Linked DNA regions of Ovis aries. The protein of the gene in region 1 interacts with the protein of each later gene in a pairwise test. Links are inferred from orthologs where the notes say so. Each region holds a gene or a part of one and is shown on either strand. Other genes may lie near its edges.

The links.
Region 2: the proteins of PEX6 (region 1) and PEX26 come close enough for resonance energy transfer, tested with the Homo sapiens proteins (2 studies listed by BioGRID). The link is inferred for Ovis aries from reciprocal best matches to the Homo sapiens genes PEX6 and PEX26.

Annotation. Positions count from the first base shown.
Region 1 is NC_056073.1:16,614,393-16,629,268, forward strand, and holds the start of PEX6 (peroxisome biogenesis factor 6), read right to left. Parts: upstream 7,016-14,876; 5' UTR 6,950-7,015; coding exon 6,068-6,949; intron 4,403-6,067; coding exon 4,239-4,402; intron 3,780-4,238; coding exon 3,696-3,779; intron 1-3,695. Other genes in the region: PPP2R5D (serine/threonine-protein phosphatase 2A 56 kDa regulatory subunit delta isoform), read left to right, coding at 11,042-11,068. UniProt on the Homo sapiens protein: Component of the PEX1-PEX6 AAA ATPase complex, a protein dislocase complex that mediates the ATP-dependent extraction of the PEX5 receptor from peroxisomal membranes, an essential step for PEX5 recycling.
Region 2 is NC_056056.1:215,182,533-215,197,375, reverse strand, and holds the start of PEX26 (peroxisome assembly protein 26), read right to left. Parts: upstream 7,713-14,843; 5' UTR 7,448-7,712; coding exon 7,233-7,447; intron 6,262-7,232; coding exon 6,121-6,261; intron 5,402-6,120; coding exon 5,106-5,401; intron 3,442-5,105; coding exon 3,295-3,441; intron 1-3,294. UniProt on the Homo sapiens protein: Peroxisomal docking factor that anchors PEX1 and PEX6 to peroxisome membranes. PEX26 is therefore required for the formation of the PEX1-PEX6 AAA ATPase complex, a complex that mediates the extraction of the PEX5 receptor from peroxisomal membrane.

The DNA.
Region 1 (14,876 bases):
TTAATGTTTCTCTATTTTGGCTGTACATTAGAATTATCTGTGAAACTTAAAAAAAAACCCAACATCTCTCACATTCTGTGATTCCATTCAGTAAAGGAGTGGTTGCCAAAAGCTGAGGGAAGGAGGGAATGGGAGTGACTGTTGGTGGGTGGGGGTTTCTTTCTGGGCTGAGGAAAATGTTTTGGAATTAGTGATGTTGATGGTACAACCTTGTGAATATATTAAAAGCCACTGACTTATATACTTTAAAAGTGTGAATTTTATGGTATGTGAATTATATCTGAATTTTACAATTAACATTTTCCTTCCTTTGGGAAAAAAATAAATAAAAAGACTGCAGAGGCTCTAGCCTAACCCTGATTCTGCTCTAATAGGTCTGGGGCGGGGCTCAGGCATTTTTATTTTTTAAAAGCTCCCAGCCATAACCAGGGCTGTGCAGTCACTGGCTAGTCTAAGAATGAGTTAGGCTTACTCAGCCTACCAAGAGGGTGAGGGTAGCAGACAGCAATTACTAGTCCAGTTTTCCAGATACAGAGACGAACTACTCCCGTCTTTAATTCTCAGGCAGCATGGCAATGGCAGAGCCTAGGCCTCATTCAGGTCTAATTGGGGTACAAATTCCTTTGCTTAGTATCCCACAGTCACACAGCTGCTCGCTCTGGCAGCAGAGAGGGGTGGGGGTGGGAACGCCTTCGGGTGGAAGGGGAGGCATACTAGGTTAGGGACTACCACCAGAGGCTGTGAAAGAGCTGGAACATAAGGAAAGCTGTCCCACTGTTTTTTTCTGTTTGTTTGGTCAGCTGCACTGTGCGGTTGGTGGCATTTTAGTTCCCCAACCAAGGATTGAACCCAGCCCTGGCAATGAAAACACTGAGTCTGTACCACTGGACTGCCAGGTAATTCCCTGTCCTACTGCTATTCATTATAAATTAGTGTTGTGTTAGTTGCTCAGGCCTGTCCGACTCATTGGGACCCCATGGACTGTAGCTTGCCAGGCTCCTCTGTCCATGGGATTCTCCAGGCAGCAATACTGGAGTGGGTTGCCATTCCCATCTCCAAGGGATCTTCCCAACCCAGGAATCGAACCCAGGTTTCCCACATTGCAGGCAGATTCTTTACTGTTTGAGCCACCAGGGAAGCCCATAAATAAGTGAAGGGTGAGTCTACAACCTAGACTCTCAATCAAGCTGAACCACCTCAGTCAGATGCATCTAGCAGCCAATGGAATCCAAGGAGGAAGAGCCCTGGGGCAGGGAGACACGCCCACCTCTCCCCCTCACAATTCCCGCTCCTCTCCGCCCCAACTCTCCATCCACGGAGAGTGGATGGGGCCACCTCTTTGAGATTGGCCAGACCTCTGGAACATATCTGGACACTGCTGGGGAACATGGGGTTGCGTTCCTGAGAGCCAGACAGCAGACAGTGGAGCTCGATCCCTGCCCCCGGCCTGGTGTGGGAGGTGGAGCACGGGGAGTACGGACCAGCTGCACCAATGCCAGTGAACTTCCGTGCCAGGGATCAGGGGAACCTCCATCCAGGGAGCCTCTTACCAAGTCCAAGGAGTAGGGGGTACAGCACTCATCTCTGTCCTTGAACCTGTCTGCCCACCTGGCTCTACTTTTCCAAACCTACCCAGAGGTTTCAGAACTACATGCTCAGCACCCAGAGGATGGAGGCAGGCCTCCAAGGGGCTGGTATGGTGGAGGTCCAGGAACAGGACTGGCTTACTGGTCTGTCTCAGGAGGGTCGAGTGCCTGTTTTCCTTTCAAAGTACAAAAAGTGGGCATTCTGCAGCTTTCCTGCAGAGAGCTAGCTCACAGACAGTTGCTCTATTTAAGATGGACTTCCCAGGTGGCAGAGTGGTAAAGAATTTGCCTGCCAAGGCAAGAGATGCAAGAGACATGGGTTCAATCTTTGGGTCAGGAAATCCCCTGGAGCAGGAAATGGCAACCTACTCCAGTATTCTTGCCTGGAAAATTCCATGGACAAAGGAGCCTGGTGGGCTACAGTCCACGGGTCACCAAGAGCCGGACACGACTGAGCATGCACACACACAAGATGGATAACAGAAGTTGGAAGTGATGGAGAGCAGCCGGGCATTCTCCACAAGGCTCCAGTTGTAAATCTGATGGGAAAGCTCAAAGAAGCACCCTGGAGCACCAAATGGAATTACACATGGCACCACAGGCCCCTCCTCTGGGTACCACAGCCCTGAAACTGCAGAGATTGAGCACTGGCCAGAACCAAGCTCTGAATGTTGACCAAAGCTGAATTAGGTACTCCAAACAAGGCACTGCTCTCTTAGCAGAGGACCCAGGCTGGCTCGGCCTGAGACCCTGGGTATGATGGCTCTTGTGCCCAAGTTTCTGCAGGGTGGTCCCACCACCTCACTGGGATTTCCTGCAAAGTTGGGTTAGTGTCTCCTTCTTCTAATAAATCCTTATAGGAAATCCATCTGGGGGTAGGAAGCTATACATTTTCCCCCTTCACATATAGCCAAGCAGTCTCTGAATTCTGAATTTTTTTTGGCTGCGCCATGTGGTATGTAGGATCTTAGTTCTTCCATCAGGGATTGAACCTGCTCCCCCTGCATCGGGAGTGCAGTCTAAACCACAGGAAGTCCTTGCCTTACCATTTCATATGCAGTCTCTGCAGTAAGAATCAACAGGAGGAGGAGAAAGGTTGGCCTCCTTGTTTTAGGTCCCTGGCTCAGTTACGCTCTCTTTCTCACTCTCTGTTGAGGATAAGGAAAGACAGCAGGTTTCTCAAGGGCAATTCCCTTCCTCTCCTGTCTTGGGAGACAACACTGCAAAGCAGCATGTCCACATTCCATCCATTAGAGCAGAAATCATGATGGCACCGGGGCTCCTCTGGCTCAGTGTACGGGAGGTGTGGCCCAAACTGCACTGGTTGAGAATGGAAAGCAGGGCTTCCCTGGTGGCTCAGCGGTAAACAATCCACCTGCCAATGCAGGAGACACGCATCTGATCCCTGGTGAGGGAAGCTGCCATATGCCGTGGAGCAACTAAGCCCGTGTGCCACAACTATTGAGCTCGTGCTCCAGAGCTGGGGAGCCACAACTACTGAAGTCTACATGGCCAGGGCGTGTGCTCTGCAACGAGAAGCCACAGCAATGAGAAGTTAGCGCACCACCTCTTGAGAGTAGCCCCCGCTTTCTGCAACTTGAGAAAAGTCCACACAGTAATGAAGACCCAGCACAGCCAAAAAACAAAATAAACACACAAATAAAAAATTATTTTAAAAAGAATGGAAAGCAGGGGTGACTTCCCTGGAGATTCAGGGGTTAAAACTCTGAGCTTCCACTGCAGGGGCTGTGAGTTCAATTCCTGGTTGGGGGAGTTCCTCATGCCACGAGGTGCAGCCAAAAAAAAAAAAAAAAGAAAGTGAGGAATCCCACCTTGGACTAGGCCATTGAACCATTCTTAGTGCTTTACTATACCTAGGACCACCAATCAATTTGAGGATAAACACCTCCCAAAGCCAGCAGGCAGTGGCTCTTAATTTTCTTTTCAGTCACACGCCTATTTGAGAACATGAGAGTAGGTACCTTCTCTCCCAAAAATCATGCATGACAACAACAAAATGTTCTTATGCACAGAATTATTCCATTCAACTTGAGGACTCCTGCACGCAGGTTAAGAATCCCAGCTGCAGGAGAGGAGGCAGCTCCATACCTGGGCAGTTTCTCTGGGCTTCCTTCCAGGATCTCTACTTGCCCAACTGTTGGCACACACAGGACATCCCCTTCCTGGACTGCCCTGTAACACAGCGGTAGCCCTGGTCAGCTCACAATGGGAGTAAATAGCAGGCGCCTGACGTATCCCCACATGCCCTCAACCTGCAGACTGTTTCTCGGGGGCCTACTGCCCACCCAGAGACCCCAAGCAGTTGTCCAGAGAAGAAGCCTGACCTAGAAAGAGCTTTGGGATACAGCAGAGAGGAGATCAGAGAACAGAGAGAGGGGCAAAGCAGGATCCTGGCTTTTTGGGGGGCCTCCTCAAATCAAAGTGGTTTCTCAATCTAGAATGTCTGGATTTACCCTCCTGGCCCAGATTTCTCTTGACTATCTGACACACCAGGAGGCTTCTAGCCACGTACTGCCTTAAACTGTGGCTTTTTAAAATCAGAGGCTTTCTGGTATCTGAATCTCAGGTCTGGGATAGGAGGAGTTCATTGAGGGTGGTGTGCTACCCTCCTGCAAGGGGGAAGCGGCTAACCTGGGTGTCTGAAAGTGCCGGTAAAGGACATGGTCATAGTTTCCATTAGTGCTGTAGTGAGGAGACGACACAATTTCGATGTGTAACTCTTTGGCAAACAGAGGCCCAGGCAGCACTGAGCAGCTTCCTTTGTCTTCAGGGGTGCTGGAGCCCTCCAAATACCTCTATGAGAGAAATAATCACCACCTTAGAACCTTCTCCCAAGGACTCAGGCTCTGCCCAGTCTCTTAGCAACCAACACTTCTACTTTCACCCTTTATCCTTCCCATAACCACAAGGGTTGTGAGACGGGAGACCTAAGAGAGGAGAGCTGAAGACCTATATCTTCCTTAGAAAACAGAAACCTCTCCTTCTAATGGGCACCCGGAAGAGACTTCTGACTCTGATTTTCCTGACTCTAGCTCCAAAGAGTTCACCAGTGATGATAACCATTCTGTGACACCTTTATACTGGCCCAGAGCCAGTGAAATGGTAAAGACATTTAACTCCCACAAGTCATTTGAGTGACACCACGCAGCCACTGGGAACATTAATTGGACATTAGTGAGGACACTGAATTCAGGCTCCAGGTAAAGGACATGATCACACTGAAGCCGAAAGGGCGGGGTCAGGTGAATGAGCTCCTGTCTGAGTCCAGTATTTTTCCTCCATTTAGAAGGAAAGCCACACCTGACTCCCATTCATGCACATCTTTTCTCTCTTCTTGACATTCCACAGCACTAACTGGCTATGCCAGCATTACCTAATATAACTTTCTACAGTGATAGAAAAATTCTATATTTACATGTGGCTACTGAACGCAACATGTGACTAAAGCAATCAAATAACTGAATTTTTTACTTTACTTACTTTCAGTTGATTTAAAGAACCAGCCAGGGGCTAGCAGCTTTTGTACTGGTCAGTGTAGGCCTAAATCATACATCCAGGTGCTTAATTAAACAGTAGACTATATTTGTCACCCTGAACACAATTATCTTCTGGAAGTAAGTTCCTTAAAAGTAGAAAGCAAAAACTCCTCTTGGATGTATTTAATCTAATATTAAAATTAAACACCAAGCACTAAGGATAATAAAAAGCCCGTCCCTTCAAGGACAAATATACAATTGAGAATTAGAGTACGTGATCATAACAAAACTATAAAATAAAAGCTCTTGGAAAGGTACGAAATGCTATAGGAAAAAGTAATGTTAAATCTGTGGTGTGAGATTTTGCAAGGCTTTAAGAAGCAGGTGGTATCTGTAGAAGGGCCTTGAAGGAGGAGAAGGTTAGCAGAATAGAAGGGAACTTGAAGTCAAGGACAGCATGAGCAAAAGATGGGGGTATGATTTTCCATACTACCCAATACAATACTGGATGTGTGTGTGCGCCTTCTCAGTCATGTCCAACTTCCACCAGGCTCCTCTGTCCATTGGATTTTACAAGCAAGAATACTGGAGTGGGTAGCTATTTCCTCTTCCAAGGGATCTTCCTGACCTAGGGATCAAACTCACACCTCCTGCACTGGCAGGTGGATTTCTGCCTACTTGGGAAGCCCACAATACTGGATACATTGCAACAATTTAGCAAATAACTGACTAGATTTAGTACATTAAGACACATGGTAATTTGGCTGTAATTCTTACCTTTCACCTGAACAGTGAAAGCCCTTCCATGAACCAACATGTTTTAATTGTAGAGAATGGATAAATAAGGCTAAGAGGTGTTAAGGGAAAAGTCCAAGTTCTAAGGAGTAAAGGATCTAAATTTTACAGCTCTCATCTTCCAATTCAGTTAAGGCAAAGAAGAGAAAAAGAGGAGGAAGCATTCCTGATCTCAGTCCTGTATCCTACCTGGATTTTGAGCTCTCCCACGTCCAGGGGATCACAGCCGAGATTAAAAGCCAGAGTGGCAGGCACAAGGGCCAGTCCATCAGCGAGAGGCTCTCCCGGCTGCCCAGAGCCGGGTCCCAGTCTTTCAGAGAGGTTCCAGCGAGGCTCTAGGACTTGGACTGTGGCCAGATGTGGCTGAGAAGTGTTCGATGACTCTCCAGCCCGGGTCACCCACACCCATTCGCCCTGGAAGAGGCCGAGGCTGCGGAGACAGCTCCGGCTCACCCCTAGTGCATCTCCAGTCCCTCCCAGAACGCCCCTTAGTCGCCGGACTGTGCCAGAGGCCGCGAAGGAGGACACCACCGGCGGGAGAGGGAGCCGGCTGCTGTTCTCAGCCTCTGGACCCAGTTTGGCCCGCCCACGGAGCTCAGTCACAGCTAGCCGCGTCCCTGGACCCAGCAACCCTTGCAACGCCGGCCGCGTCTCCAGCACCCGCGGTCCGGGCACGGGCAGGGTCTCTCCGCGCCTCACCAGCAACGGCCCGACTCTCGGTCCGAGTCCGGGCCCAGATGAAGTGCCAAGCAGCGCCCAGCCCAGCGACGGGGGCCGCCGCACCGGCCGCGCCCGCACCCACGCCCCGGAGCCCAGAGCCAGGAGCTGCAGCAGCGCGGGGCTAACCAGCAGCTGCGGGGGCCCCGGACCCTGCTCTTCGGTGTCCGCGCCGGGTCCCTCCAGGGCAGCCACCAGCAGCGCCGGCCCTGCCGGGCTCTCCCCTGCAGGCCTCAGCGCCAGCACTAGGCCCAGCCCTGCAGCAGGCCACGGGCCCCCGGGCGGCAGCAGCACCGCCAAAGGGGGTGTCTCGGTCGGGAAGGGCTCCAGGACTCGCAAGACTGCCAGTGCCATGGTGACAGGAGACCAAAGAGCACAGCGAAGAAGGGCGCCTTCCTGAGCCTGAGAGCTAGACGTCCCGGAGGATCACACGCCGCTTCCGCTTCCGGCAGGGGAGGCCCTAGGGAAGTGGGCGGGGCGGCGGGTGCAAGGGCGTGCTCCAGGAGGGTGAGCTGCGCCTTGGATCGATCTGAAAGGTGCCTCGGTGGCAGTCACACAGTCACTGTGGTCGGGTGGTCCACGCACACCGCCTGTGAGACGTGTGTACAGGGATTTACCTTCCGCGCCCGCCTGGGGAGTAACGTCTGCCAACTAACCTCCCCACGGGCATGTCCTCAACAATTTATTGAATGATCAGTGAACGATCATTGTGCCCTGGACCAAACTTGGCCCACTGCTGGGAGCTGTGGGTATAGTGTTTAGGAAGGTGTCCACTCGTGGAACTATAGGCATTGAGGTTTGGAGGTTTGCGGGAAGGTTGCAGGAGGGAGTGGTAGGGTTATATGTCTCAGACAGGCATTTGGATGTGGAGCAGCTGCTGGCTGAATTACTGCAAATGATTCATGTAGCCCTGTAGTGCTTGGTGCTGCCACACCTGTTCCAACACATTCTACACAAAACCCACGTTCCAGTGTTTCTTGTCCTGCTTATTGTCCTGTTCATTCTATTCCCACCAAACTTGAAACAAACACAAAGCAGCTTCCCTTTCTCATCTCTCCAAAACTAGATGTTCTCTCTCCTCATTCCCTGTAGACTGGAGATCCATTCCCATTTCCACCATAGAGAGGAATGAACAGCAGATGAAGCAGGAGAGAGAGATTCAAGGCTTCAGTCATTGAGTACCAGACCAACAGCTTGTTTCTCATCTGGGCTGTTACTTAACAGTCCTTCCTTGTCCACACCTCCACTGCTCTGTATAGACACCTGAACACTAGCTGGCCACACTCCCAGTTATTAACAGTATACTTGCATTTAGAATCAATGGCTTGGAGGATTCCCTGGCGGTCCAGGGGTTAGGACTGAGTGCTTCCATTGCAGGGGTCACAGGTTTGATCCCTGGCTAGGAAACTAAGATCACACATGCTGCTCAGTGTGACCGAAAACTAAAAAGAATCAATGGATTGGTTGGTGGCAATATCCTCTTTCTGGACCTTGCATTCTCTTTCTTGCCTTCTCTGCCCAACCTTCTCCTTTCCTTCATCTTAAGGCAATCCTCTACTTTGTACATTTTTGCATTCCTGAAAATTTCCTGAAAATCTGGGAGGTTACTATAAGATTTACATATTGTAAGGTATTTCTATCCCTAGAAAGACAAGAAAAAAAATTTAATGTTTGATATAGGACTAGATGTACCTCTAGTCCTAAACCTGAAATTGCCAAGTTATACATCTTTAAAACAGCATGCTTCCCTGATAGCTCAATTGGTAAAGAATCCACCTGCAATGCAGAAGACCCCAGTTTGATTCCTGGGTCGGGAAGATCCGCTGAAGAAGGGACAGGCTACTCATTCAGTATTCTTGGGCTTCCCTTGTGGCTCAGCTGGTAAAGAATCCACCTGCAATGTGGGAGACCTGGGTTCGATCCCTGAGTAGGGAAGATCCTCTGGAGAAGGGAAAGGCTGCCCACTCCGGTATTCTGGTCTGGAGAATTCCATGGACTGTTTAGTCTATGGGGCCGCAAATATTCGGACTAAACTAAGCGACTTTCACTTTCACTTTCAAGAATGTACTAGGTACCTGAATTTACAAGGATGAACGGTCCCATTTCACGGACAGAGGAGCCTGGCAGGCTACAGTTCATGGGGTTGCATAGTCGGACATGACTGAGTGACTAACACTTTCACACTTTCTTAGCGGTTTTCCTGGTAGCTCAGACAGTAAAGAGTCCCTGTAATGCGTGAGACCCAGTTTTGATCCCTGGATCAGGAAGATCCCCTGGAGAAAGGAAATGGCAACCCAGTCCAGTATTCTTGCCTGGAAAATCCCATGGACTGATGGAGCCTGGCAGGCTACAGTCCATGGGGTCGCAAAGTCAGACACAATTGAGCGACTTCACTTTGAAACTGTTACGTGGCTCTGTCCCCAAGACAGAGATCCAAGGACTGAGAGGATGGTGGAGTGATTCCAAAGAGAATATGCCTCCTTTACACAGAATAAGGCCAGCTATGGTGTTCCTTGAGGTCTTGCAAATGGGTAAATATATCTGGTACCCTGCCTGGGTTGGCATCCATATAGATGCAAATATCTATTCACAGATAAACGTGCTTTTCTCATAGGTTTTTCCTTGAGCAAATAATGGTTAGCATGTCGTCCACTCTGCATTATCTTGAAATCATCATTAGTCAATGAAAGTCAAATAATTACTTCTGTAAGACAGCTAGCAGCCTAGATTTTTGGCCTTTACTTCCATACCTCTTGCTCACTCTTTAACCCACTATAACCTTCCTTCCATTCTTCTGAAACTTTCCTGCAAAGATAATCTGTAACCTTTTTAAAAATAATTTTATTTATCTTTGGCTGTGCTGGGTTGTTGCTGTGCAGGTTTTCTCTAGTTGAGGCAAGTAGGGGCTACTCGCTGGTTGAGAGTGTGCAGGCTTATTGAGGTGGCTTCTCTTGCTGCGAGCTGTGGAGCATGAGCTCTAGAGTGTGGGTTTCAGTAGTTGCAGCTCACCGGTGTTAAGAGTGTGGGCTCAGTAGTTGTGGGCTTAGTTGCCCCGTGGCATGTGGAATCTTCTCAGACCAGGGATTGCACTTGTGTCCCCTACATTGGCAGGTGGATTTTTAACCACAGAGAAGCCCTGATGCTATTCGGTCTTTTTTTTTTTTTTTTAATGCTGTTCGATCTTGAGCAACTTTTCTCTAGAATTTGACATTACTGACCAATCCTCTTATACTTCCTTTGTCACTATGACACACAGTTTACTCTCACATCTTCGATGGCTTTCAGAAGTCATCCTGAGCTCTTCCTTTTCCTTTACCACTCTCTTTGCAATCGGATTACTCACCAAATCCTGTTAGTTCTACACGTTTCCCAATGTTGTCATTTCTTCTCCATGCCTATACTGCCCTATAACACTGCTCTCTTGGGCAAGGACCACAGGCTTATTCTTGAGCCTTCCTCAGTGTCTTCATGTAGTCAACTTGCTGCTGGAAGTTGACTTTCTGAAACATTCCTCTAGCCACTTCTCTAGTTTGGTGTAATTTATTACATTGTATCTTAATCATAGGTTTATACAAGGCTGTGAACTCCACCATGCTGTGAACTCCTTGGGGGCAGGAACTGATCTTATCCTTTAGGACACTGGCTTAACCAGAGTAAGGGATATATTTCCCGAGACGCTCAAGAATGAGGTAGCATGTCCACTGCGTTCCCAAATGCTCGTGTCCAGCTGGTTCCCCAACCCTAGGACAGCTGTAGTAGGAATGGGGATCCTATTCCCAAAGCTGGAACAAATCCTGGATTCTCATCTCATTTCACCCCGGTGCCTTCCTGCCAGGCCTCCCCTTTGATCCTCCTCAAGCCTCCTCTAGGAAACAGGCCCTCGAGGACTCCTGGGAGCTCTCTACAATTTTACGTAGGCAATCAGTGTCACGTTACCCTGATGAAGAAAGGTACCCTTCATTTTAAGGCTTCTTTCCTTCAATTCGGACTGGGCGGAGTCGCAGTGGGGAAAGAGTGAGAGCCACTTTAGAGCGGAACGAGCTGCGAAGAATGGCCGAAGACAACGCACACCAGACGCCGAAGTGCGGCACTCGGTGCAAAGCCCGGGCTTCCCTTGACCCCCGCCTCTCACGCTAAGCTCGACCCCCTTTAGGGCGGGACCTCCCACTTCAGCCAATTCTGGGAGTCGAACCCTGGCGGTTTGTACTCTTCCTTTCCAATGAGAAAAAAAAGAAGCCGCTTGCTTCCAGCGACCAATCGGAGGAGGCGGCGCCTGGTTGTCAGGCAGGTTTGTAAGAGTTCGGGCCAATTGGAACACAGACATCGCTCGACCCGGGCGCAGCGCGCAGGCGGTGGCGAAGAGACGCCGAGCGGGCCGAGTGCGGCCGAGCAAAGCCGGAGCCGGAGCGGGGCCGCAGGAGCCGGGCAGGGTCCGGACGGGCCGAGATGCCCTATAAACTGAAGAAGGAGAAGGTGAGCGTGGTCCTTTTCCCCGCGCCTTCGCCTCGGGGGCCTGCGCGGAACTCTGGGAGGGGCCCGAGCCAGGCCCGGGACAGCCCCAGACAGACCCTCCCGTCCGGCCCCCGCAGGACTCCCCGGGGCCAGCCCTCCATCCCCGCTGCTCGTCGCACCCCCAGCCTTTGCCGCAGCTGAGAAAGCTCCCACCCTTGTCCGGGATAGAGTCCGCCCCGCATGCACCTCCCTTCCTCTCCACCGACCCCCGGCCCAGGGTAACCTCCTCCCTCCAGATCCTGCTTCGCTCCCAGGTCACTCTCCTGCTTTTTCTCCCCCCATCACCTCCCCATCCCCCACCCGTTTGCCGTTTGGGACAGGCGCTTATTTGAGACAGCACCTCCCTCCAGAACTAGCCCCCCCTCTTCAGCCCCGCGCAGCCCCTTCTCTACCCTCCTCTTCTCACCCGTCTGGGCCTGGGCCTGGGCCTGCCTTCTCCACCGTCCCTTAGAGCAACCTTCTCCCTCCCCGCCAAGCTCCTTGACCTAGAACAGCTCTCTCTGCTTTTCTCTCTCCTCCACCGAATCTGGCCTAGGCCCCTCCCTCTAGTTCTTCCTTCACACACAAACTTGTAAACCAGGACCGAACCCTTCCTTCTGCTGATGGAACCTTGGAAGTCAAGGTGTCTGAGCGCATTCAGTGCAATCCCTCATGATACAGATGAGGAGACTGAGGCCTCGATCCGGGGGGGCAGGGGAAGGGACTGGGCCAAGGTCACACAGCCTCCTGGAGGCCCATCTGTAATATCAGGTCTCCTGACTTAAAGGCCTCCTCTATACCAAAGCGTTGCTAACAGGCATCACCCCGCTCCCAGGTTCATCCTAAACCAGTCACCTTTCATCATCTGGGCAGGCCCGTCCCCTTATTCCTAATTGAGAATAACCTTTGCATTTTTCCTTTTTTGTACCAGTGTTGGGTTTCTGTCTTTCCAGGGCCATACTATTCTCAAATTGGGAATCTGCCCTCACAGATAGATATAGCTTTTCTTCTTAGCCCACAGGCAAGCCACCCCTGGACACCCTTGCTTTTTGTCTGGTGTCCTGACAGGCCATTTCTTGATGTTACCTTCTTTCACCTTCCTCCTCTACCTCCGAACTGCCTTCCCATCTTCTTCATTCCTGTCTTTTTGTACCCTCTATTTCCTGCTGTTGCTGAGGTCTGACTCAGAGGTGTGGTTCCTTTGAGGTACAGACTCACACAGAAGATGCTAGGATACCAGTTCCAGCCTCCCCCAGCTTCTTCTCTTCCCCGGGGCTGGCCCCTCGCGGTGGGTGCCAGCTCTGGCCTGGTGTTTTCTTTACCCCCTTTATGACCCCAGAGGTGTCTTGTTTTCCTTTGCCCTCTGATTGGCTAGGTTGCTGCTTGTGCCATCTCTGACCTTATCAATTAGACTCCTTATCCTGGGGCCGATGGAGATTTGCCAGGCGGCTCTGATTCTGGATTGTCCCCATAACCTCTCAGGGCCTGAGATTCTGAACGTTGGGTTAGTAATAGTATAGAAGGCACTGTACCTCCTAGGGAGCTGAGCTGGGCAGGTTTGGGTGCCCCACCCAGGCCCCGTGCCCTTGGGAAGCGGACATGCTGAGGTGGTTTGGGCAGCTTAGCTGTAGGTGATACACACACAAGTCAGTCACACCAGGGGCTGAAGGGCTTCTACGAGGAGTGTGGAGAGGGATGAAATTCAGAGGAAGCTGATGAGTTCCTTGCCGATCTTTAGTTTGTTTTTTTAATTTTTACTTTTTAGTCATACTGCCCAGCCTGTGGGATCTTAGTTATCCTATCAGGGATCAAACCTGAGCCTTTTGCACTGGAAGCATGGAGTGTTAACCACTGGACTGCCAGAGACATCCCTGATTTGTAGTTTTTAGTCTGATGGAAGAGATACTGTCTCATCCACAGAAAGCCTTTATCTACTAGAGGACTGAGAAGAAAATTTCTTAAGACTTTCTAGGACCACAGGTGTAAGTGTTTGGTTGGGAAAGAGTATGAGAAGGATCGGGGTGCATGGGGCCAGGCACCTCTGAAAGTAGGCACTTTCTACTTTTGATTTCCAATTGCATTTGGCCTCCTTCTATGGTTGACAAGTCCTGACAGTGTGACTGGGGTTTGCCGAAGTGGGGTGGGGACGGAGAGGAGGAGGGGATGGAGGATCTGTATTGCTCATCTGTGGTTTTTCCCCTTTCTCCTTTATCTCTGCTGGTCCCGTTCTTGGCCAAACCTCATGGCCTCTCTCCTAAAGCCCATTGCAAACCCTTAGATGGGGGTGAGCCCTCCTCCCCTGGATTTGCAGAACACTTGGTAGGTTACTTAGGGCCTTTTTGTGTTCCCTTGGACTGGAACTGTGGACATGTCTTTTCTTTCCCCTGAGAAAATAACTAAGCTCCATTTTGGTTTGGTGTCTCCCTTGTATACCTTAGGCGCTCAGTGTATGAGCGGTGAGTCAACCCTTGGGGAGTTTGCATCCCTCCTCTTCCCTCACATTCTGATCTAGGACTTCTGTCTTTTTGGTTGCTGGGTGGAGGTGTCCCCGCTCCCTCCCATTTTCTTGTTCATAATAATAGTAATAACATTGACTAACATTTCGTTTTTCATGTGCCAGACGCTGGGCTAAAGGGAACTAGGGGGACTTCCTGGTGGTCCGGTGGTTAAGACTGTAGGCTTCCACTGCAGGGGGTGTGGGTTCAATCCCTGGTCCGGGAACTAAGATCCTGCATGCCGTGCGGTGCAGCCAAAAAATTAAAGAGTAAAAACATTAAATAAGCAGAAGGAATCAGGTACTTTGATTGTCAGCACTGAATAGATGAGGAAACAGGCTCAGCGAGGTTAGTTAACTAGCCCATGATTGTGTAGCTAGAAAGAGCTGGGCTGGAACACACGGTTGCCTGTAAACCACAGTGTCGTGTGGCCCTGGACGGCTGGGCTGGGCTGAAGCATGGGTACTTTGCCTGTTGTCCTGCGGGAGCCAGGGAGCAAGGGTGGAGGCCTGGTTCCCACTGCCCACCACCCGTCAGCACACACCCCCGCAAGCAGCTGGGGTCTCTCTTTGGCACATTCCCTGAGAAAGATGTCTGAGCGCTGCAGGGTGGGTGGAGGGGTACAGAAAGGAACGAGGAGCCCACGGTCAAGGAGAGAAGTGAGACGTGTGTGCACATGGGCCAGCTGTGTCCCAGAAGCCCACGACTGGGGTGTGTGCAGACGGTCACCCCAGTGTTGCATCCTGCAGGCACCCCCCTGATCCTTTTCCTCTCCGCCCCATGCTCTGTGCCCCTTCCTGGCCCCTTGGCAAAGGGTGAGGGTGCCCAGCCTGGTCAGGAGCCACAGGGAAGGCGCTCAGCTGCCTAGAGCACATGCATGGCTCCTTCATGACTGGAGCTGCTCCACGCCTAGAAACAGCTCCCTGCCTCCCCGCCCCCAGGAAGCCTTCCCCCTGCTCCAGCCCACGCAGCGCTCGCTTCTCCCTGAAATCCTTTAGCCCCCATCAGCATAATCACTGGGTTTAACAGTTCTCACTGAAGGGGCTCAGGTGCTCAGGAGTTGCAGGATCTCAGAGCTGGAAGTGATTTCCAAGGTCCCCCAAACCCACCTGCCTTTAAGGCTTGGGCCCCTTTTGCGTCGTGCCTGGGAGAGGCCTCAGTGCACCTCCGCCTGAGTGCTGTCAGGTGGGGAGCTGCCGCCTCCCTAGGCAGCAGGTTTCTGTGCAGCTGCTCCAGGAGAAAAGTCTTCCTCGTTTGTAGTCTCAGCCTGTCTTCCTGCCACCTTAGCCCGTGGC
Region 2 (14,843 bases), on another chromosome or scaffold:
TGGTAATGATGGCTGCCTATATGTAAATGAATTTGGGAAGAGACTTTTCACTGCATTCCTCTTTGTACCTTTCAAGTTTGAAGCCAAGCCACAATAGTACCTCTTTTTATCATAAGTTAATTATATTAACAATAAAAGTAAAAATAGCCTCTTTTGAATGAGAGCTGAGCTGGCTTTGGCTGGTTTTTCTTTATTTGAATTACTGATTTTTTAACAGACTTTCTTCCTTCTTTAAAAGAAGTATGTTACTTTTAAGAAAGCTATTCCAGTCCACCTTCTTCATGTCCTGCTGGGCAGGTTCTAATTGCAGCCAGCCCGGGCTCTCACCAACCTGCATGGACTGTCCTGAGTGCTCCTGGAACAGCCCTTTGCCATCCCTACTCAGAAGACCAGGGTTCTGAGACTGAAGGACTCCTAAGAACCACAAAAATCTTTCTAATTTTTACTAAGTCTCTGGAATAAAGTAAAAGGTCAGAGGGTGGACAGGACTGAACACAAACTCCTCAGCTTTCCAAAGGGCTAACCAGTGACTCTCTCCTCAAGCAAACGGAGCTGTTCAGAGGGATCTCCTGCTTGGTACCAGCCATGGGGTCAAAGGCACAAGCTGAGCTGTGCAGAAACAGCCCCCGGACAAGAAAAAGGGAAGTGGGGATGCAGCAGGATTTGGGGATAAAGGAAGAGCAGCAGACAGAACGTCTGCGTGACCCTGGAGCAGTCACTTCTCTCTGGGTCTTAGGTTTCCCAACCGAAAAAGAAAACCAAAGTGAAGGGATTGAATGAAGGGTTTCCAGTTCTCCTTTCAGTTTTGAAAGTTATGCAACCCTAAGTCTAAATTCATGAGAAGAGGTTAGGTTATAACTCACACAAAGCCACACACAGAAAAGTTCATGAGTGAGCTCCTAACCTCTGGCCCAGTGCTCACAAGGTCTGAGGAATTCACCCTCGGGAAAGAGCACAGTAGAAAACAGCAAGAAATCATCAAAATGTTCAGAGGTATCACCTCATACTGGTCAGAATGGCCACCATCAAAAGTGAAAGTGAAGTCACTCAGTCGTATCCAACTCTTTGCGACCCCATTGACTGTAGCCTGCCAGGCTCCTCTGTCCATGGGATTTTCCAGGCAAGAATACTGGAGCGGGCTGGGCTGCCATTTCCTTCTCCAGGGGATCTTTCCAACCCAGGGATCAAACCAGGGTCTCCCGCACTGTAGATAGACGCTTTTACCATCTGAGCCACCAGGGAAGTCCCCCCTCCCCGCCCCCCGCCAAAAAAAAAAAAGTCTACAAGCAATAAATGTTGAAGAGGGTGTGGAGAAAAGGGAGCCCTCCCACACTGTTGGTGGGAATGCAAATTGGTGCAGCCATTATAGAGAACAGTATCGAGGTTCCTTAAAACTAAATACAGCTAGCATGTGACCCAGCAACCCCACTACTGGGCATATATCCAGAAATAAACATAATTCAAAATACACGTGCACCCCAATGTTCACAGCAGCACTGTTTACAACAGCCAGGACATGGAAGCAACCTAGAGATCCTTTGAGAGAGGAGTGGACAAAGACGCAGTACACACACAGTGGACTATTACTCAGTCATAAAAGGGACAAACGAAATTTGTAGAGACATGGATGAACCGAGCGGGTGTCACAGAGTGAAGTTAAGTCAGAAAGAGAAAAACAAGTGTCGTATATTAACACATATATTGTGCAATCTAGAGAAGTGGTATAGATGACCTTATTTGCAAAGCAAAACTAGAGACACAGACGTAGGAAACAAATGCATGGGTGCCACGGTGGAAGGCGGGAGGGAGCTGGGAGAATGGGATTGGCATACATATACTATCAATACCATGTGCAGAATCAAAGCTGGGCAGCACGGGGAGCTCTACTCGGCGCCCCAGTGGCCTGAATGGGAGGGGGGCCAAAGGGAGGGGGTATGTACACACACAGCTGACTCACTGTGCTGTGCATCAGCAGCTAACACAACGCTGGAAAGCAACTGCGCTGCAATAAAGATTAATCACACAAAGAAACAGCAAGGAATCACTGAACTGTTCAAAAACAGGGCACTGTAAAATCAGTTATGGAAGTTACTGAAAGCTGGAATATTATTTAGTCGTGTAAAGTTTTAAAACCTTTTTTTTTTTTTTGGTGGGGGGAGGGCCACAATTCATGGCTTACAGAATCTTATTTCCTTGACCAGGAATCGAACCCAGGCCTACAGCAGTGAAAGCATGGGGTCCTAACAACTAGATTGCCTGGAAATTCCCTAAAGCCATGTTTTAAAGAATGCTTATAGGGGGATGAGGAACTGGAAGAAGACTGTCAAAAAGTCCTTTTAGTTATAAGATAAATAAGTATTAGGGATGTAATGTACAACATGATGAATATAATTAACACTGCTGTATGTTACATACCAAAGTTAAGAAAGTCCTAAGAGCTTCTCATCACAAGGAAAAAAATTTATTTTTCTATTTAAAAAATTTTTTATCTACATGAGAGGATAAATGTTCACTGTACATACTGTGGGAATCATTTCATGATGTATGTAAGTCAAATCATTATGCTCTACAACTTAAAGTGATGAACGTCAATTATATCTCAATAAAACTAGAAGAAAAAAAAGAATATTTAACAACAAGCAAAACTGCATCTACATCCAGAAAAAGACTAACGATTACAGCAGCTGACTGAAGAGTGATTTGTTTTCTCCTTTATACTTTTCTCTATTTTCCATATTCTCTAAAATATATTTTTCCTATTGTAATTGTATTTCTACAATATAATATGTTTTAATTTAATGTAACTTTTTAACACATTATGATGAAGCTTTCTTTTTCCTTTTTTAATTCTGAGGGGACTTCTTGGTGGTCCAGGGGTTGAAAATCTGCCTGCTAGTGTCTGATCTCTGGTCTGGGAAGACCCCACACGCTGCAAGGCAGCTAAGCCCATACACTGCATCTACTGGAGCCCGAATGCTCCACAGCCTGGGTGTGGCACCACAACTGCTGAACAGCCCCTGCTTGCCACAACTAGAGAAAGCCTGCGTGCAGCAACGAAGACCCAGCACAGCCAAAAACAAAATAAACAAACCCTGAGGCTCTACTCAGAGTTCACCCCAGAAGTCCGGAGTCGACAAGGCAGAGAGGACTTTCTCCAGGACTGGTCTCTCCTTCAAGGTGGGCTGGCTCCAGTTTAGGTCCAGTAACAAAACCCCCAGGAGGGCTCCCAGGCCCAGCCCTGGTCAATCGCCCTGTCCTGGGAGGGTGGGTGGGGAGGCAGGTGTCCTCACTCACCTGGATCAAACCTCAACACCAGGAGGCAAAGGAGCAAGGCGGCCAGCAGGCTCTTACTGAAGGGCAGAGAAAAGAAGTGGCTGACTGCAGAGTCCCAGAGCTGGCGCAGCAACGTCAGCAGAGACAGGAACTTGTAGGAGGAGGAGCCTGGTGGGGAGACAAGAGTAGAACTTCAGTAAAGAAGCAGTTTCCCAACTCTGAGCTTTGAGTGTAAGTCGAGCCAAGACTGGTTTCCTCATGCAGTCCACAAAATGGTTGGAAGGGAGCTCCCAGGCATCCAGAGATGCCTTCAGCACTGATTATATCAGAACACCAGCTCCATCCAAGAGGACTGTAACGACACCAGACACCACCGCCACAGGAGAGGGCTCTGACATTACCAGACTTCAGCTCCACAGGAGAGGGCTCTGATGTCACCAGACACCAGCTCCAGAGGAGAGGGCTCTGACATCACCAGACACCAGCTCCACAGGAGAGGGCTCTGACGTCACCAGACACCAGCTCCACAGGAGAGGACTCTGACATCACCAGACACCAGCTCCAGAGGAGACGACTCTGATGTCACCAGACACCAGCTCCATGGGAGAGGGCTGACATCACCAGACGCCAGCTCCACAGGTGAGGGCTCTGATGTCACCAGACACCAGTCCCACAGGAGAGGACTCCGACGTCACCAGACACCAGCTCCATCCGAGAGGACTGTGACATCACCAGACACCACCTCTGTAGGAGAGGATTCTGACATCACCAGACACCAGCTCCACGGGAGAGGGCTCTGACATCACCAGACACTAGCCTCATGGGAGAGAACTGTGATGTCACCAGACACTTGTTCCACAGGAGAGAACTCTGATGTCACCAGACACCAGCTCCACAGGAGAGGGCTCTGACGTCACCAGTCACCACCTCAGTAGAAAAGGACTCTGACATCACCACACCAGCTCTGTAGGACAGGACTTCAACAGAAATGTCAACTTAGCTGGGGAACCTGGTACATCTGGTGTTTCTTTAACAGCTTCACAGTATTCTTCATATTCTGGCCTAAGATATACGCACAGTTACATAGCAATAATTCCTGATGATCAGTAAAGGCAGAAAACAAAGGGCACCTCACAGGCACAGTGAAGAATCCCACCTTGGACTGAGCACAAACATGAACGACACCGCCAAGCCCTGAAGACACCCTGGACTCGCCAGCCGAGCGCCTCCTCCCCGGCACTGGACAGGCAGAGGGTCGGTGGAGTTACATGGCGTCCCTGAAGCCAACAACCTCCTGCAAAGACGTGACCCTGCCCCAGCAGGTCCCTGCTCTCAAGCACACGAAGAAAACACCTCAGAGGCAGGATCAGTCTCCTGAGGGCTGAAGGTCCTCCGTGTATGCCTATTCTATGTGTCACGAACAGAGAAAACAAAGATCAGGGGGTTAAAAACTACCAGGAGGAAAACTGCAACTCAGCATCAGGAAGAACCTCCCCACACAACCCTCCACAGCTGAAAGGCACTGCTTCAGGAGACGGTGAAGTAACATCCCGGCCAGGCCAGCACAGTGGCGGCAGGTCTACTGACAGGAGCCCAGGGAGGAGATGACTTTCAGGAGACAAAAGTAAGGCTCTGAGACCTGCACCACCTGCCTCCCAAAGCCAACTGCAGAGGGGCTGGGCTTTCGAAGCACCTCAACAGATTTCTTATCCCGCAATCTGGAAGTTACTCAAAGCATTGTTCCCAAGGCCCAGGAAGGTCATGATGGACCCCACGTCCAGGAGGAAGCCCTCAGCTTCTGCACAGAGGGCTGCAGAAGGACAATGTCCCACCTTCCTGGCTTAGTGTCCGCGTCTCCTCAGAGCCAGAGTGCACATGTGTCTGCTGCTGCCTCGCTGCACTCACGGCCTGAAGCGCGTCCAGCCGCTGTTTCTCGCCGAAGGCTGCAGAGCCCACCACCAGCTCTTCAGCCTCTGACAGGAGGCCCAGAGGAAGTAGCACTCGCTGCAGGTGAAGTTCTGCTAAGGATCTATACTCTGGAAGGCCCTGGTTGTCAGGGTCTTGAAGCCAAGCACGGACTCCATCCAGCACGGCTCCAGGCTCTTGCATTTTGCTGTATAAAAGAACGCTGCAGCCCCAAATAATCCAATCCCAGAAAAAGAGTGGTCAATGCTTCACGGTTTAACTTCTCATAACCACTAAACTCCTCCTACCCAGCCCCTCCTTTGTGCCCTCAAGTCCTTCCCTAAGGGACACTGACACGGTAAGAATCAGGAGTTCTTAGAAGCAGCAAGCAACTCTCAGCTCTGGCACCCCCCACTTCTGTCACCCCACTTCATGTCTCCCATCCCTTCCTCTTTTCCCTATCCCACTCCTAAATTCCTTCTTCTTCATCTTTTCATGCATATGTTTTGAGTCTGGAGGGCGCCAGGGGGACAGGGGATGGGGGAAAGGGAAAGAATTAGATTTAAAGGGAATGGTATGGAAAGAAAAAGAGGAGATATGAGAACTGAAGGGGTGTGCTGTGCTTAGTCGCTCAGCCATGTCGGACTCTGTGTGACCTCATGGACTGTAGCCCGCCAGGCTCCTCTGTCCATGGGGATTCTCCAAGCAAGAACACTGGAGTGGGTGGCCATGCCCTCCTCCAGGGGATCTTCCCAATCCAGGGATCAAACCCAGGTCTCGCGCATTGCAGGCAGATTCTTTACTGTCTGAGCCACCAGGTGAGCTGAAGAATACTGGAGTGAGTTGCCTATCCCTTCTCCAGCGGATCTTCCCGACCCAGGGGAAAACCCTCTTGCTCCTGCGCTGACTCAGTGGGGAAGCAGTAAGGACCTAAGGACCTACCACAGTTCCAGGACTTTGGGGGGCAGCCTCTCAGGAGCCTGGTAATATTGAAGAACCCAGGACAGGACTTCCCGCCACCGATCCATTTCTGCCAGGGCCTGGATGCCCACAACACACAGAGAGCATTTCACCTCCAAGGAGCTGTCAGCAAAAAAGCCAATTTGAGTTCAGAAGTGGTTCCCCTGCACTGCCATTCCCACCTTTAGCCTGGGACTGTTCTTTACCAGCTCCCAAGTCAGTAACCATTACCTCTCACCTCCCCCCATCCCCAGTATTCAAGAGGGCCTCACAATTATGACCCCTCTCATGAGCCCCAGCAAGAGAAAACTGCTCTTTGCCCAGGAGCTAAACGTTTCTATAAATCTAAAGGCCAATCAGCTGCTGACCAGCACATGTCTCTGTATCCAGGTAAAGTCAGGGTTAACCAACAGGAAGCGTTCATTTACTCCCAAGGGGAAAAGAACAGCTGCAGTACAGATGTGGGTGGAAAGAGGACCAGCCCTAAGAGTTCGCTTAGTGAAGAAAGGGCAGAAGCAGTCTCCGCCAGAGCGCAGCATCAGAATCACACCCTCAGCCTTTATAGCACTCAGTCTTCACCGACCCCCAAACACTCAGCGAAGGCTCCCCAGTTCATCCTTCTCTGGGGCCAGCTTTGACCAGTCTACCCACGCCCTCCCTAGTGCGACCTAATCCAATGAGCAACGCAGGACCAAGATTTCAATTCTTTGATCCAGTCCTACAAGAGGACCGGAACACGACTCCTGCTCTGAACCCCAACCCGAGGAGTGAGGGGGACTACTTCGGGGAGGGGTGGAAGGAGAGGACGTCTGCCACCAGCTTACTGCAGTAATTTAACACATCAATTCTATCTTCCCATTAGACCACTCTACCCTGGTATAGGGAGAAAGAATTGATCGTGGGGTCCCACTAAACCCCGTTCACGTCTTGACGGTTTCCTCCCCGGAGAACCAGCACAAGGTGAGTCCCTGCCTCGCGGAAAAGCATCGCGAGGAAAACAAGGCATAAGGATCACACAAGCAACCACACTGCCGGAGTGCTGGCGTTTGGAGGCCTCCCACTGTCCCCGGAGGCGAACCGAGCCCCTGACGTACGCGCCCGCCGGCTCCTCCGCCAGGCCCTGCCAGGCGCGTTCGCAGGTGCGCAGCGCCGCGCCGAAGTCCAGGTGCACCACCAGGAGGTCGGCCGCCTCCTCCAGCAGAAGCGCGGCCGCCGAAGGGGCCGGGACGGCACGCACCGGCTCGCTGCTCCGCAGGGCGCCCCCGAGCGCCCTCAGCGGGGCTGCGGAGGTCGCGGGGTCACTCTTCATGAGTGCGCGCCAGGACGCAGCCCTCTAGGGGCGCGGGGTGTGCGGTGCAGTCTGGGGAGGAGGAAGGGGTGGTCCTCACAGGCTGCTCTGGCACGGGACAGCCTGGCGCCCTCGGATTTGTGCAGCACTGAGTCCCTGGGCACCCGGTCCCACGACAAGGACTGGGACCCCGGCTGGAGTATGGCCGCCCGTGGTCTCAGGTGCAGGGCCGCCGCCGCGGGGTCGGGGACACAGGGGCCGACATCTTGCCTGCGCGCGCAGGCCCGGCCGACGCTCGGTGCCCGGAGGCGCAGGGCATTCTGGGAGGTGTAGTTCCGCTCCTGGAGCTGTCGTCCTCCCGGGCAGGCGAGGGACTTCGGACTACAAGCCCCGGCAGGCCGTGCCCCGGAAGTTGTTGCGGCGAGAGGAAGCTCGCCGACGGAAGGCGTGGACCCGGGTACGAGTGGAGGCGTGGGCCTCCGGCACCTGCGCCCCAGGTCTCCAGGATGCAGCCCCGTCAGCGGCCAGTAAAGGCAGTCCGTGTGCCGCCTCCGTCGGACCCCCGTCGTGCTCACGGTCAGTCCACAGTGGGACTCCAAACCTCTTGCCAAATAGAGATCTCGTGAAAAACAGCCGTACGGTGTGTGATGCAGTTTGCAATAAAGCCCTGGCACAGAGCACGTATTCCTTACGTTATGGCTGTAATAGTAATTATTAAGTGGTTGTACGCAGACACAAGTTACGTTTATTACTGTGCTTCACTCAGGGTTTTCGGGGCTTCTTAAGTTTGTACTAAACCCTAGGTTTCCCAGTTCCTATCCTGAGGGCTCCTGAAGCGACTCCTCTTTGATTACACGAGTCAGGCCAGGCGCAAAGTCAGCACCTGATCGCGCCAGCGTCGCCTTCTCTGGTCACCAGCCTGGGCCCTCATCTCTACATAAAGTCCTCCCTGAAGGCTGAGGCAGAAGCATCAGATCCGTCAGACTCTGCGGATGAGGAGTATGGAGCCATAACCATATAAGGCCATAAAGCCAGGCCTTCACTCACTCCGCATATACCTAGCACCCTGTAAGTGCCAGGCCTTCTTCTAAAGGCTGAAGATACCACGTGAACACAGGAGACAAATATCTGCCTCTGTGGAGCTTCCATATAGTGAAAGGAAGCAAAATTAAAAATAAGTAGTATGTCAGATGGTGATAAATACTAAGGACAAATAAACAAAATAGAGAGGAGAACTTGAGAGTGACAACGCTGATGACACCTAACTTTGTTTTCTAATGGTAAATCCGGGGCTGGAGAAGAGCAGAGAGAACCTGGCCCTGTGCTCAGACTGGCCTCTGTTGGTGGGTTCACTGCCCTTGGGACCAACATGTACTTAGTGTCTGCCCTAAATCCCTCTTCATCTCCAGGCAGTATTTGTTCCCATGTAGCAAAATCCAGAGGCAAGCAGGTTTCTGGGAGGTGTGGATCGGTTCAAGGCTGAAGTTACCAGGATGTGTTATCAGTTATGCCTGGGGTCTCACAGCAGATAATGAAGATCAGTAGAAATAACATAATTATTGGACTTAAAACAACCAACCAAACAAACAAAAAAAAACCTGTTTCTTAGAGCTGGTTTTAGACGTCATTCCTGTAAAATCAGGGAAGCAGTAGTAGCATCAGGAAACAGATGTGATCAGGCCTGGGCGAGTTGGGACTAGCACAGTCAAGCCTTGGCCTCAGGAGTGCCTCCTGAAAAAGGTCCTTTTCTTAATCCCTAAGGAGAAGGCTCTTGCTATGCCCAGGCATCTCCAGGAGACGGCAGCACAGCCTTAAAAGAAGCTGACCTGCCAGCAGGTAGGTCTGTGGCTGCCAGAATGAGGTCAAGATATTTAAGGAAGTGGAAGCTTGCAAAAAATAATATAAAAATAGGATTGTGTTCTGTTTCCGTGTTTCATCCGATCTTTGTGCGGGGCCGCACAGTGGTCTTTCATCACATAACTTTAGCACTGCTATGCCCGCCAACCGATCCCTGAACACCAGCTCGGTGATACTCCCTAGCTCCATCTGAATGTATCCAGAACTTCTCAAGCTAAGATACAGCAATCCTAATTTATTCCACCTGAATTAGAGTGAACAGATGTCTTAACGACTTGGGGCTCATGAGTCAAGAGCTTTGAAAGCACCTCAGGACTTCACAGGTGGCCCAGTGGTTAAGAATCCACCTGTCCATGTAGGAGATGTGGATTCAATTCCCAGTCTGGGAAGATTCCATACACTGCGGAGCGGCTAAGCCCAGTGGCCCAGTCTCCACAACCACTGAGCCCACATGCTGCAACTGCTGCAGCCTATGCACCCTAGACCCAGTGCTCTGCAACAAACACCCAGGGCAGCCATAAATAAGCAAATAAATGTATTTTAAAATAAGCAAACCACCTAGCCTCCCCTAGGGATAAAAGCAGAAACAAGGCAGTTCTCTCAATCTGTAAGGCCTGAGTCATGTCAATATTTGTATCAGTGGAATCGTTTCGGGAAAACTAGTAGAGTAAGTGAGACACAAAACTCACACGATATCCATCCCCCAGCCCACCCAAGCCCTGGGACCTGCTGCTCCCCCTTCTGCTTGTAGGGTGCTCAGTGTATCTTGCCTGAGCAGGGTCCTGAGGGTGTCGATTTGCTCTTTGCTCATCTGCTCTGAGCAGGTGATGAGTCTGTGTTTCTGTAGCAGAAAGTGCTCCAGTCTAGGAGATGAGCTATGCCATCTAGAATCCTGGGGACCTCTGCAAAGTCAGATGAGTCCTCTGAGCTTCAGTTTTCTCATTTGAGGACATTGACACCAACACTTGCCGTGTGGGGTGGTTGTGAGGATCAGAAGAGGTCATATGACAGCGCCAAGAATGCTTTAAATCACTGGAATAGTTCAGGCCAAACAAGGTGAGATGATACACTGGGAGGTGAGTAAGGAGGAGAAAGAATCCAGTTCCTCCTCAGAGTTCTGTAATCTTAACTTTCTGACATGGAATCTGACTCTTGACTCTTCCTTACAAAGGTCAGATGCCAACCTCTGGAGCCAGCCCAGCCTGTCTGCCCTTTCCAAGCTGGCTCTATACTTAGTGACAAGAGACTGCATCCACACAGCTGCCCCTCTGGGCTTATCTCTTCCAGTCGGAGACCCTCAGTACAGGGACGTCAGTGGTATGGCTCTGCAGGCAGTAGAATCACGCCTGGTGTGGACTTTGGCCAGAAGCAAGCCGAAGAGATAAATATTGGCAGGGCGGAGGTGATGTTTTTCCAGGGTGGTCAAGGGCTCCAGACCTTCGTCAGTGAGATGGCATTTTTATGGCTCCTTTTTTTAAAGCCTGGACTTGGAGTTCAGGGCAGAACTGAACTGAACCGGCTCCTCCCCTCCATGTAGACGCAGCAGAGCCCTCCCTCTGCCTCTGCGTCCAAGGCCTGTTCCTTGTCCTCCTCCTTGTCCCGTGCAGCACTTACAACATAGTAACAGTGGCTCAGAGAACCAGGTGCTGCTCCAGGTACTGTACGTCCAGCTCCTCTTAATCACCAGCAACCCTGGGACAAGAGTCCTGCTGTTACCTCCACGTTGCAGATGAAGAGGCCAAGGCAACAGGTAGTCACACAGGAGTGCAGAGCGGGGCTGGGACTTTAACAGGGCAGTGTGGCTCAAGCCTTTCTTGTAAGCTGATAATTCTGACTGTACAAGGCGCTCTCACTCATCCTGTGCGAACTTGATGACAAAACTGAGCAAAACAACACAGATATGTTAGTGTTCCTAATGGTAGATGGGAAAGTAAAGCTCAGAAACTGTCTGAGTTCAGAATTCATGGTTTCAGTGACAAAGCTGGAGGAGTCACTGGAGATTTCTCACCAGAGCCCATGCCAGGACATTCTCCAGATGGCCAGAAGTGACTTCTCCTCCTCTGCTCTCAAGGTGACCAGTACCACCCCTACCCTCTGCCCTGGGCAACCTGCCCTCCAATTTCCACATGTTCCCACCCACCCTGGGAGCCAGAGGGTGCACCTGAGAAAATCTTCATGATGCCAGACCAGGCGTGATGTGAAGTGAATAACGGATGCTCCCTGGGTACTGGTCAGCCCTGCTCAGGTGGAAAGATGTTGGGCCCTTCGGAATCTGTCCTGCTTCCACGCAATTCAAGCTGATCGCTCCTCTCTTAAAACCCCCCACTGTGCTTTGCTCTTTTCATGCCTCTCTTGTGGGTCCTTCCCAACATCCATTTTTCTTGTAGTTATTTGTGTCATTCCCCTAGTCAACCATGCCCTTCCTGAGGACAGGACAGGAGCCCCCATCTCAGGATCCCTGGGCATCTGGCATGGTGCAAAGTGCTAGGTGTGGGCTACTCCAAGGGACCCACCTGCCCTGAGCTGTTCTGCATCATTTGATCTTGACTTCCAGGTATGCCCACTGGTGAACACTGTGTGAAAGGTTGGAAGCCGAGGAGATCATGTCCCAACGCAGCCCCCGAGAAAAGAGAGACACGTGGTATTTCCAGATCCTGGGACGCCCACCTGCCTTCTTGTCTGTGCTTTCTTCCTTGTTTCCTAGGAAATAATCTAATAAACTCAGTCACCCCAAGTGATAGAATTTCAGGGTTGAACAGGGTCTTATACTGGAGCTGAGCTGAGGCTGGGGAGGGGAAGCGACAGCCACTGTCCCCCAGCTGAAGGCCACAGAACCCCTGACCCATTCCATGCCAGAGAGGAAGGACCTCGCCCTGCCTTAAAATGTTTCCTCACCAGCCCAGCTATTCCCAAGCTTTGGGGTAGGTCGCAGCATCCAGAGCTGCTGTTCATGCCCAGATCCTGGCTAAGAACAGCCACCCCTGTCCCAGGGCTCCCTTCCTCCCCTCCCAGAACAGCTCTGGTTCCCAAAAACCTATGGTTTCCTGTAGCAGGCCAACCCTGGGAGGGGAAAACTGATGGAAGGACCCTCAACATAGTGTAATATTCTAGGAAGTTGTGTATTTATCTGAGATAATGCTGCAATTGTTACCAGTCAATAGATTTTATTTACTAGAGAAATATTCCAAAACAGGATTGATGCAGGGGCAATTAAAGTAGTCTTTGGGGACTTCCCAGGTGGTGCAGTGGATAAGAATCTGCCTGCCAATACAGAGAACACAGGTTCAATCCCGGGTCTGGGAAGATCCCACATGCCACGGAGCAATTAAGCCCAAGAGCCGCAACTACTGAAGCCCACTCGCCCAGAGCCCATGCTTTGCAACAACAGAAACCACTGGATGGTGAACCCACAACAAAGAGCAGTCCATGCACTCCACAACTAAAGAAAGCCCTTGCAAAGCAACAAAGACCCAGGGCAGCCCAAAATTAAATAAAAACAGTTTTTAAAAGTGGTGTCTTGTATTTAAAAGCTTAGGAACCACTGATAGAATCTGTACGTCCCAAGTTATTTGGGGAAGTTATTTTCTTAAATGAAACTTAAGGTCAGCAAGTCCTGATTCAGGTATATGGGTAGTGGGGGAGGAGGAAGATTGGGGAGGGGGGAGGATTTCCAGAAATCATCATTTCACACCTGGCCCAGGTGAGGGCAGTAGAATGGAGAGGGAAGGTGAGAAGCTCAAAGAAGCGCAGGACAGCCTTCTGAGCTCTGGCAACCTCACTCAGTCCTAAAATTGGGTTTCTTACTCAGCCAACCGCAGCAAGTAAAACAAACATTTGCCCAACATTGTCCCATGGGTCTAGGGCCTAAAAGTAATTACTAGAAAATAAACAAGAGGAACTACAGTTGCCCTTTGCATCGGCTTAATTATTCTTCTATTTTTTGGGCTCCAAAATCACTGCAGATGGTGACTGCAGCCATGAAATTAAAAGTCGCTTGTTTCTTGGAAGAAAAGTTATGACCAACCTAGAGAGCAGATTAAAAAGGAGAGACATTACTTTGCCAACAAAGGTCTGTCTAGTCAAAGCTTTGATTTTTCCAGTAGTCATGTATGGATGTGAGAGTTGGACTATAAAGCTGAGTGCTGAAGTACTGATGCTTTTGAACTGTTGGATAAGACTCTTGAGAGTCCCTTGGACAACAAGAAGATCAAACCGGTCAATCCTAAAGGAAATCAGTCCTGAATATTCATTGGAAGAACTGATGCTGAAGCTGAAACTCCAATACACTGGCCATCTGATGGGAAGAGCTGACTCATTAGAAAAGACCCTGATGTTGGGAAAGATTGAAGGCAGGAGGAGAAGGGGACAACAGAGGATGAGATGGTTGGATGGCATCACTGAATCAATGGACATGAGTTTCAACAAGCTCTGGGAGCTGGTCGTGGACAGGGAAACCTGGCGTTCCACCATGGGGTGGCATAGAGCCACCTGAGCTCAAAGATACAAATGAGTGATTGAACTGAACTGAACTCAATCTGATTGTTATATATCTGTTCTTTTAACTGCTTTTGTTAAAATGATACGCACACAGGGGGCCTCCCAGGTGGCTCAGTGGTAAAGAATCTTCCTGCTAATGCAGGAGACGTGGGTTCCATCCCTGATCTGAGATGATCCAACAGGCTGTGGAGTCACGCGGGCATGTCCAACTCTTTGTAACCCCACGTGTTACTGAGTCCAAGCTCACTGTGCTTGCCACATGACAGGCCAATGAATCTGAGAGACAAGGTGTTGAGGCGAGGAAAGGACTTTAGTTGGAAAGCCAGCTGACCAAGAAGATGGTAGGGTAGTGCCTCAAAAATAGCCATCTTGTCAGGGTCTGGTTTGCCAAGTTCTTTTGTAGAGTCAGAGGGAAAGAAACAATGAGGAGCTAGAGTCAGAAGGCAGCATAGAGAGGGAGAGGCGGTGGGAGCATAGAGAGAAATGGTATTCAGTCTTGCAAAACGTCTCCAAGGGAAGGGTCAGCCTTTGGAAAGGGGGGTTCATCTCTTCTATTCACAGGTGGGCAGGGACAAACTCTCTCTCTTTGAGCTGAACAAAGGTACTTTAGTTTACAATCAAGCAGAGAGGCATGGTCCTCTGAGGCAAGCTATTAAGTATGATTATAACAACAAAAGCAACAAAAAGCAAGTCAAAGAAAGTTTCCAACATGGAGTCAAGGTTGGCTTTTTCTCTGTAACACATGGACTGTAGCCCACCAGGCTCCCCTGTCCAAGGGATTATCTTGGCAAGAATGCTGAAGTGGGTTGTCATTTCCTCCTCCAGGGGATCGTCCACACCCAGGGAATGAACCCCCATCTCCTGCGGCTCCTGCATCCAGGCGGATTCTTTACCACCGAGCCATCTGGGAAGCCCAACTAAGCCCGTGTGGAGTAGCGCCCACTTGCCACAACTAGAGAAAAACCCAGGCAGCAGGAAAGACCCAGTACAGCCAAAAACAAATAAATAGTTATTTTTAAAAATGATACATATACAGAGTAAAAATAATTCAAACAAGACTGAA